Ovis aries: one gene and its partner. The protein of the gene in region 1 purifies or fractionates together with the protein of each later gene. This does not show direct contact. Links are inferred from orthologs where the notes say so. Each region holds a gene or a part of one and is shown on either strand. Other genes may lie near its edges. The genes, in order: PTPN5 and MAPK3.

The links.
Region 2: the proteins of PTPN5 (region 1) and MAPK3 purify together in Homo sapiens (affinity purification with mass spectrometry; 4 studies listed by BioGRID and IntAct, with this or other methods). This does not show direct contact. The link is inferred for Ovis aries from reciprocal best matches to the Homo sapiens genes PTPN5 and MAPK3.

The regions. Positions count from the first base shown.
Region 1 is NC_056074.1:23,575,818-23,579,615, forward strand, and holds the end of PTPN5 (tyrosine-protein phosphatase non-receptor type 5), read left to right. Parts: intron 1-1,216; coding exon 1,217-1,377; intron 1,378-1,459; coding exon 1,460-1,573; intron 1,574-1,996; coding exon 1,997-2,090; 3' UTR 2,091-3,174; downstream 3,175-3,798. UniProt on the Homo sapiens protein: May regulate the activity of several effector molecules involved in synaptic plasticity and neuronal cell survival, including MAPKs, Src family kinases and NMDA receptors.
Region 2 is NC_056077.1:26,691,898-26,696,279, forward strand, and holds the start of MAPK3 (mitogen-activated protein kinase 3), read left to right. Parts: upstream 1-1,326; 5' UTR 1,327-1,348; coding exon 1,349-1,521; intron 1,522-2,548; coding exon 2,549-2,731; intron 2,732-4,382.

The DNA of each region.
Region 1 (3,798 bases):
AGCATTTCCAGGATGTAGGTTTGCTCGAGGGCATTTCAGAGGTGGAGGATAGAGGCTGTGGTAGCCCATGGAGCAGCTTCCTTTTTCCCCTGAAAGAGAGGCTGGGCTGCCACATCTTCTAAGTGCTGTGGGACTGGTCAGGGACCACTGGGCATTTACTTTTGTCCGTAACCTTTACAAGCACCTGCCCTGAGCCTGGTTCTGGGTTGGGTACTGGGAAAACACAGAGCTGTCCAAAGCCTGGACTCTCTCCTCAAGGAGCACCTATAAAATGGTAAGTACTGACCTACAAATAAGTAAAAGCACAGAAGAAGGACATGTTGTCAGCTAGGGTGCTCAGGGAGGGCTTCCTGGAAGTGGTGGTGCTGAATGGGGTTCCGAAGGATAAGAGTTGGCTGGGGGGCAGACATGTAGAGAGAGCATTCCAGACAAAGGGAAACTAAAAGTAAGGGCACAGAAGATAGAACAGCTCTGTGTATAAATGTACAGGGAATGGGGGAAGCAGAGATTTGATCAACAAACCATCTGGAGTGCAAAGGCATCAAGTACAGGTTCACAGGAGGACTTGGGCTTGGAGAGGTAGACGCTGTACCATGTGTCTTGTTTGCCCGAATGAAGAGTAGGGAGGGTGTGTTTGAGTTTTAGAGCAACAAGAGCTATCAGAGCGTTCTGAGCGGTAGAACAGGATGGGCTGTAGACAGGCCTTCTGGACCACTGTGGATCTGAGCGATCAGAGAGGAGGAGGGGAGGGCCCCACACAGTCGAGAGAACAAAGTGAAGGTGGTGGTGGAGAGGATAGCACTGGAACACTGGCTGGGGGGGACCAGGGGTACTGGTGGGCAGGAAAGTATATTGAGGCAACAGGAAGGGTCCCAGGGCTCTTGTGGGGGTGACTGGGCTATCTGTGAAGGGGCAACCAGGAGACAGGAGTGAAATGGAGAAGGGGCTCTTCACCTCTCTTGGAAGATCCTGGAGTCACTGGGGCAAAACCCATGTGAAGACCAGTGCTGACGCTGCTCACCAGTCCCCACTGCCCAGCTGGCCTCGGGTCTCTGGCTGCTGCCTCTGGGCTGTACGGGGTAGATGGCAGAGGTCCGAGGTCCCACTCCCTGTGGCCTCCCTCCTGTGCTTCCTTCTCCCTTCCCATCTCTATCTCTGGGCTGGTGGCTGGGCTCAGTTCACGTGTATCTGGGGTGGGCCTCTGTCTCCTGGACAGAGCGGGACAGAAGAGCGAGGCCTGAAGCATTACTGGTTCACGTCCTGGCCCGACCAGAAGACCCCAGACCGCGCGCCCCCACTCCTGCACCTGGTGCGGGAGGTGGAGGAGGCGGCCCAGCAGGAGGGGCCCCGCTGCGCCCCCATCGTGGTGCACTGCAGGTGGGTCCTCCCAGACACCCACTGGGGCGTGGCGGGGCTCCCCGGCGGCCCCACCCCTCACCCCCGTGCCCTGGGCCCTCAGCGCAGGGATTGGGAGGACTGGCTGCTTCATCGCCACCAGCATCTGCTGCCAGCAGCTGCGGCACGAGGGCGTGGTGGACATCCTGAAGACCACATGCCAGCTCCGTCAGGACAGGTCAGCTGAGGGTGGGACCCATGGGGAGCTGGGGAGCGGGGGAGAGGGCAACAGAGAGAGCCTGACCTGTGTGCATAGGGTGAAGGTTGGGGGACACACCCCACCGGGACCGACCTGTGGACAGATGGGTGGAGAAGCCAGATCCAGGCAGTTGGTAGCTGGGATGCAGAGGGGAGAGGGACAGAGCTGGTGGACACAGGCGCAGAGGCTGAGAGTGGAGGATCATGCCACCTCTGTCCCCGCTGTCTATGCCAGAGCCAGGAGGGACAGGAAGGGCAGGTGGAAGTGGCTGGCTGGCCAAGGCTGACCTCTCTAAGCTGCACAGAGGCCCTGATGTGCCTCCCAGAGGACTGGCACTCTGTGGGTCTGGGGGCGGCTCCGCAGCCGTTCTTCCATGACCCGGCCCCTTCATCTGTCGGGTAGGGGCGGTATGATCCAGACGTGCGAGCAGTACCAGTTCGTGCACCATGTCATGAGCCTCTACGAGAAGCAGCTGTCCCGCCAGTCCCCGGAGTGACCACACGCCTCCCCGAGGTCCTCTGGTACCTCCCAGCCTGAGTTGGGGCCCTCCTCGCAGCCACACCCAGGGCCCTGCCTCAGGTCCCGGCCTGCTCCCCGTCCCTCCCGCTTCCTCTCTTCAGTTTGCTCCCCCTCCCCCGCTGCCTCGGCCGGACCCCTGCCCCCTCAACATAGCTCTTCCTACTGTACATACTGGGGAGTGGGGAGGGTGGGGGAGGGGTGTGCCAGGCCAGGCCTGGGGCCCCAGGGCCTGACCCAAACCACGTGACCTGGGGCCTCAGTTTTTAACGATGGTTCCACTGCTACTTGATCCAAAACGTTTCCCTGCCGCAACTCCACGTGTCCTGCCGCAGCGTGTTCTGTCTGTCCATCGTCTCTGCTGTCTGTACCGAACACTGTGTCTCCTCAGCCCGGGAGAGGGGTTGTGAGCTCCAGCCCCTCAGGGGCCCTGGCACGGGTGCCTGCCTCAGGCCCCCAGCCCCGCTTCTCCCAGCAGACAGGTTGCACTTTGCCCCTAGTTCCTGGAACCAGGATGGGAAGGAAGGGCCTGAAGACCCCAGAAGTCAGGCACAGGAAAGCCCTGAGGGGTTGGCAGAAAGATCGCAGCTGGGGAGAGGTCTCTGGATGGGGGTGGGGGAGGAGGATCGCATCCAGGGGGACCCCCAGGTATCACACGCCCTCAGCAGGCAGTGACTAGCCTGTGGGGCAATGGTGAGAAAGGGGACACATAGGGGAGAATGAACCCAGGGGGCCTGGGCCAGTGGGAGATGGGAAGCTCTGAGGGTAGGGTGGGAACTCGGCCCCAGATCCGTGTGAAGCACTTTTCTGTGTCGCTTTGGGAGACCCCTCCCAGAAGTCTTGCCGTGTGTAGCTCTGCGTGTGTCCTGTGTTCATGCGTGTGTTGAGAGCCCGTCAGCAGGGCGTGCATGACTCTTTGGCAACATGTGTTATCTTGGAGCCACGTGTTTTTATTGGTGACTTTGAATATTTATTCCATGGCAGACAGAGACATTTGGTGTCTTTTTATAATTTGCTCATGGTCATTGAATAGAGCAATAAATGGAGCATTTTGAGCAAAACTAGCTTCCTGGGTCTGTGTGATTGCCTCTTCCCTCTACTTCCTGCCTCCCTGTACCCCCATCTTCTTGCCCCTCCTACTAGTACAGATGCGCATGCGCACAAAGACACACCCACACACAGGCCTTTGAGATCCCTAGTGCCCCCTTGTGTAGCTTGGGAGATAGCGTGAATCCAGATTTGAAATTCCAAAGTCCACTGAGCATAATTCTCATATACCTGCACCCTCGCACCCAGCCAGAAGCCAGGGGCCCTGCAAAGCCACAGGGACAGATGTTGGAGGCTTTCATAGAAGGAAAAGTGGCTGGCAGGCCACCAGTTTCGACACAGGGGCCAGAGATGCCAAGGTCAGAGCAGGGGGACCTTCAGACTATACAGGCCCCTCCCTGTTGGCCAGCCCACTTATTTGCCCTGCAGGTCCCAACAGCAGCTGCAGCCCAGCAATTTGCCTTGCAAGGCCTGGGCTGAGAGCAGTCCCGCCCAAGGAACCTGGAGAATCTGCCCCTAGACCAAGATCCTGTGCCTTCCAGACACTCCCACTCTATTCTTACCCCAGCCCCCAGGGATGCAGCAAATGTAGCTGTCCTGCCCTTGCTGACAGGGGTGGGTCACCCCAGGGCAAGAGGGAG
Region 2 (4,382 bases), on another chromosome or scaffold:
TTATGAGCAATTTCAGAATCATAATTTCTGTTCCATTTTGTCTCTTGATCTTTAGTGCATACAAGGACATACTCCCAGCTTCCAAGGAAGACAAAAACAACGTGATTACTTCCTGAAGCCTAGGAGATGTGTTTTGTGAAGCTCCCAGCTCACATCTTCACTGTGAAGTGGAGATGGATTGGATGGTCTCTTCAGTTTAACAGTCTGGGAGACAGAATGCAATTAAAAAGAACTTCTGCCTGTGTGTCAGAAGATACATGTTAGTCTCAGCTCCTCAACTCTCAGATTTCCCATTCTGTAAAACTTTGATTCACCTATTCCAAAATTTTTGAGTGTCTACATTTGACTGTAGGGATGGGGGTGGGTGGGGGCTACAGCAATGAACAAGACAGACATGGCCCTCTGCTCATCCAGCTCAGAAAACCAGATGACACCTACACTGTGGGGTGGTTCTAATGAAGAAATTAAAGTGGACCAAATGCTGTGTAAACTATGAAGTCTAGCACAGGAGCAAAAGATGATGATCTCGGTTCCAATTTTTGTCAAATCCAAGGACAACAAAAATGTTAGCTATCCTGCTGTTTCTGAGTAAAGCCTGAGAGTGTATTTTTCACCAAACCCAGTCCACGCAGCCCTCACCTCTTCCCTATGCCTCCATGTAAAGGTAGGCTGGGATTATCTGTCCTCAGGATACAGGCACTGCCAGGTTGCTGAGGTCCGGTCCCTAGCCCACTTTGACAGGTCTCCATTCGAAAACCATTAGGCAGGGAGTCAAGATGCCTGGGCTTTCCAGCAATCAAGTTACCTTGCCCAGTCACCTTCAGTTTCCACATCTGTGAAAGAGGCCCCATGTGTGAGGAAGCCACCTGTCACGGCTACTATGAAATAAGCATCATATCACTCGGCATCGGGCCTGGCTCCAGGAGGTTCCACCTCGAGCCCCGGGCTACTCCTCGGGCCGAGTGGGCACAGCGGGGCCACGTGGCCCGGTCTGGGTCCCAGCTCCAGCACTCATTTGCTAGGTGGCTCTGGGTGAGGTCACCGGGCCGCCCTACCGGTCAGCATTCGGTGGCGGGGGTGGGGGGGGAGGGTCTGGACAGTCTCGAGACTGCCCTGGGGAGCTTCTACGTTGACTGGAGCAGACGAGGCCGACAGGTGCCAGGGACCACAGCCCCAGCAGCGGGAAAACGGCGCGCGCGCGGCGGGGAGAGTCACGTGACGCCGCGGGGGCGGACGGGGGCGGGGCCTGGCGCGCGCGGCTCCGCGGGTGAGAGGGCGGGCGGGAAGGGGCGGGGCCTCGGGCGGGGCCGCCGGGGGGAGGCGGGCGGGCGGGAGGGGAGGAGTGGAGATGGCGGCGGCGGCGGCGGCTCAGGGGGGCGGGGGCGGGGAGCCCCGGGGAACTGATGGGGTCGGCCCGGGGGTCCCGGGGGAGGTGGAGATAGTAAAGGGGCAGCCGTTCGACGTGGGCCCGCGCTACACGCAGCTGCAGTACATCGGCGAGGGCGCGTACGGCATGGTCAGGTGAGGGGCGTTCTGGGGGAGGGGGCGTCTCTGGGGAGGGGGCGGAGAGGGGTGCTGAGAGCTCTCTGGGCCTTGCGGACTCTGAGCATCCTGAAGAAGCCGGGGCTTCAGGAGGCTGGGGAGCGTCCCAGGCGGAGGGCCTTTGAGTGCTTTCTGGGGGAGGGGGTCACTGCGTAAGGTCTCAGGAGAGGAGGTTTGGGAGCTTTGAACTGACTATTCAATAATGAAGGGTAGGGCATCAGAGTGTATGTGGGGGAGCTCTGGGGACCTTGGGGACCCCATAATCACGGGGTGAGGAGAAGAGAATTAGTCTTCTTGGGGAGGTGATATCCTTAGTGAAGAAGGAGAGAGGGTCCCCTCACTGGGGAGAGGATGTCTTGGATCACCCCCCAGTGAGGCTTGCCAAGGAGTTTGGGAAAAAAGAGCAAAGCTCAGGGCTGGGTGGGGTGGGGTGGGGCTTTGGGCCTGGGGCCAGGGACCCAGTGAGCCATGAGGGGTCCAGGAACACCTTCCTGCAACTTTTAGGAGGGGTCTGTGAGTTCTCCTATCCGCACTGGGTGCTCTGGGCCTTTGTTCAGCTGGACATAGCTCTGCTGCCCAGGAACCTCCCCCTGACACCCGCCCCGGCCCTGCCTCTCCCTTCTCTCCAGTCCCTCCTCCGACTCCCTCCTTCTCACTGTATTTGCCTCATTGTCCAGTCCTCCACATCTCCCACCCCCTGGACCCGTCTTGGCTTGAGAGAGCCCATCGTGGGAAGGGGAGGATGAGGGGTCAGGGCAGCTCGAATGGAAAGGGTTGAGGAGAGGGGAAGTCAGTGAGCGGTCAGTCTCTTCCTCTGTTTGTGAAGTCACCGAAGGGCTGGCTGGCTGGTCCCCAGCTTTCTCCCTGGAGATCCCAGGCCTTCACAGCAGGAAGGAACTAGCATTGTTTATGACTGGCCAGAGCCCTCTCCTGCTCCCTCCCCGCCCTGCCAAGGCCTGGGTGGGGCCACCGGGCCTGGACACCAACATCTCTCTGGCCCTCTCAGCTCAGCTTACGACCACGTGCGCAAGACTCGAGTGGCCATCAAGAAGATCAGCCCCTTTGAGCATCAGACCTACTGCCAGCGCACGTTGCGAGAGATTCAGATTCTGCTGCGCTTCCGCCATGAGAATGTCATTGGCATCCGAGACATTCTGCGAGCACCCACCCTGGAAGCCATGAGGGATGTGTATCCTTCACCTGGGCCAGACGGCTGGCCAGGCCCAGCCTCAGAGCCGGGCTGGGAGAACAGGGGCTTGTTTTCTCTTCCCTTCTTCCCAACCTCCCTCCAAACAAACCCAGTAAAGGAAACTTTCCAGCGGTCAAGAGGCCACAGTGTAAGAAGGCAGAGAGGCCTCAGATGAATCCTGGCCTGCTGCGGCCAGGCAGTGTGGCCTTGGGCAAGTCTGTTCTCTCGATCTTGGCTTCGTAGGGGGCTGGGCAAGATGAGCCCTGTGGAAGCTTTGTCCTCTGACATCGGCAATTCTGTGAGGAGATCCAGCCTCTGCCCACAGTCAGCTCTTCTGTTTAACTGATGGCAGTTCTTGTTTCTCTGGGTCCTCAGACTGGCAGGAAGGCAGGCGGGAAGAACACTGCCCTGTTTTGAGGGCCTACTGTGAGTCTGGTGCAGCTCAAGCCGAGTGCTTTGACATTTCCTATTCTAACTCCCAACTGCCCTAGGAGATGGGTCTCAGCAGCTCCATTTCAAAGATGAGGAAACTGAGGCTCAGAAAACTGAAATAAAATCAAGTGCTTCTGTGGCTGCCTCTTCCCCTCCCCCAGACAAGAACCTGTCCCCTCTCTGGGACTTCCTGCTCAGAGTCCCACCCCAGTCACCTGTGGACTCGTACCTTGCCCAGGGAGGAACAGACCTGCCTTTGTGGCCCCCCCGACCCACACACACACATTGCTTTCCTAGTTTGTGGGTCCACTTCCTGCCTGGCTCTGTTAGGAGCTTTTACACTCATCACCTCTCCCCTACCCCACCCACCCCCACCATCCCAGTCCTTCCCCCAAGAGTGGTGATCTGTACTGCACTGTTTGCAGCCCCCACCACAAACTGTGGGCAGGAAACTTCCACACTCACCCTCAGCTTGTCGTGTGACCTTAACCAAGTCACTGCAGCATGCCGGGCCTCTTCATCTTTAAAATAGCAGGGTTGGTCCAGGTGTTCTCGGAAGGCCCTTTTGAGGCTGACTCTGAAAGACAGCCATAACTGAGTCTTCCAGAAACAACCCACATGACGTTTATTTGTTTGTTTATGTTTAATTCTTTTTTTATCTTAGAGTATAAAAGGACATTTACTCCTCTGTCTTCGGGTGTAGGGCCAAGCCCCCGGAGTAGGAGCGTGCCGCTGGGAAGTTTCTCCTCATTCGTCTTGCACAAACCATCCCCATAAGGCAGGCATTTATTTTTAAGCAAACATTTATTGCCTGCCAGATGGTGTTCATACATAATCTCATTTAACCTTCTCAACAGCCATGTGGCTCAGTCTTTTATAACAGCAATACTAGTTCACATTTGCCGAACATTTACAACGTGCCAGGCACCAAGCTGGCTGCACTGCCTGGGTCATCTCTCAACTAATCTTTACCACCACTCTCTAAAAAGGATTTTTTTTCCCCTTTACAGATGAGGAAGAGAGGCGCAGACAGGGCTTGAGTTCCTAAAGTGAATGAATGACCAGTGCAGGAATGATTGACAGTGGCAGGTGAACTCCAGAGTTACTGCTCTTAGCTGGGACGTTCTCCTGCTTCCCAGTTTATTATCCCCATTTTCTCAATAGGGAGACTGAGGCTACAGAACTGCGACGCTTTGCTCAGGGTCACCAGCTGAGATCC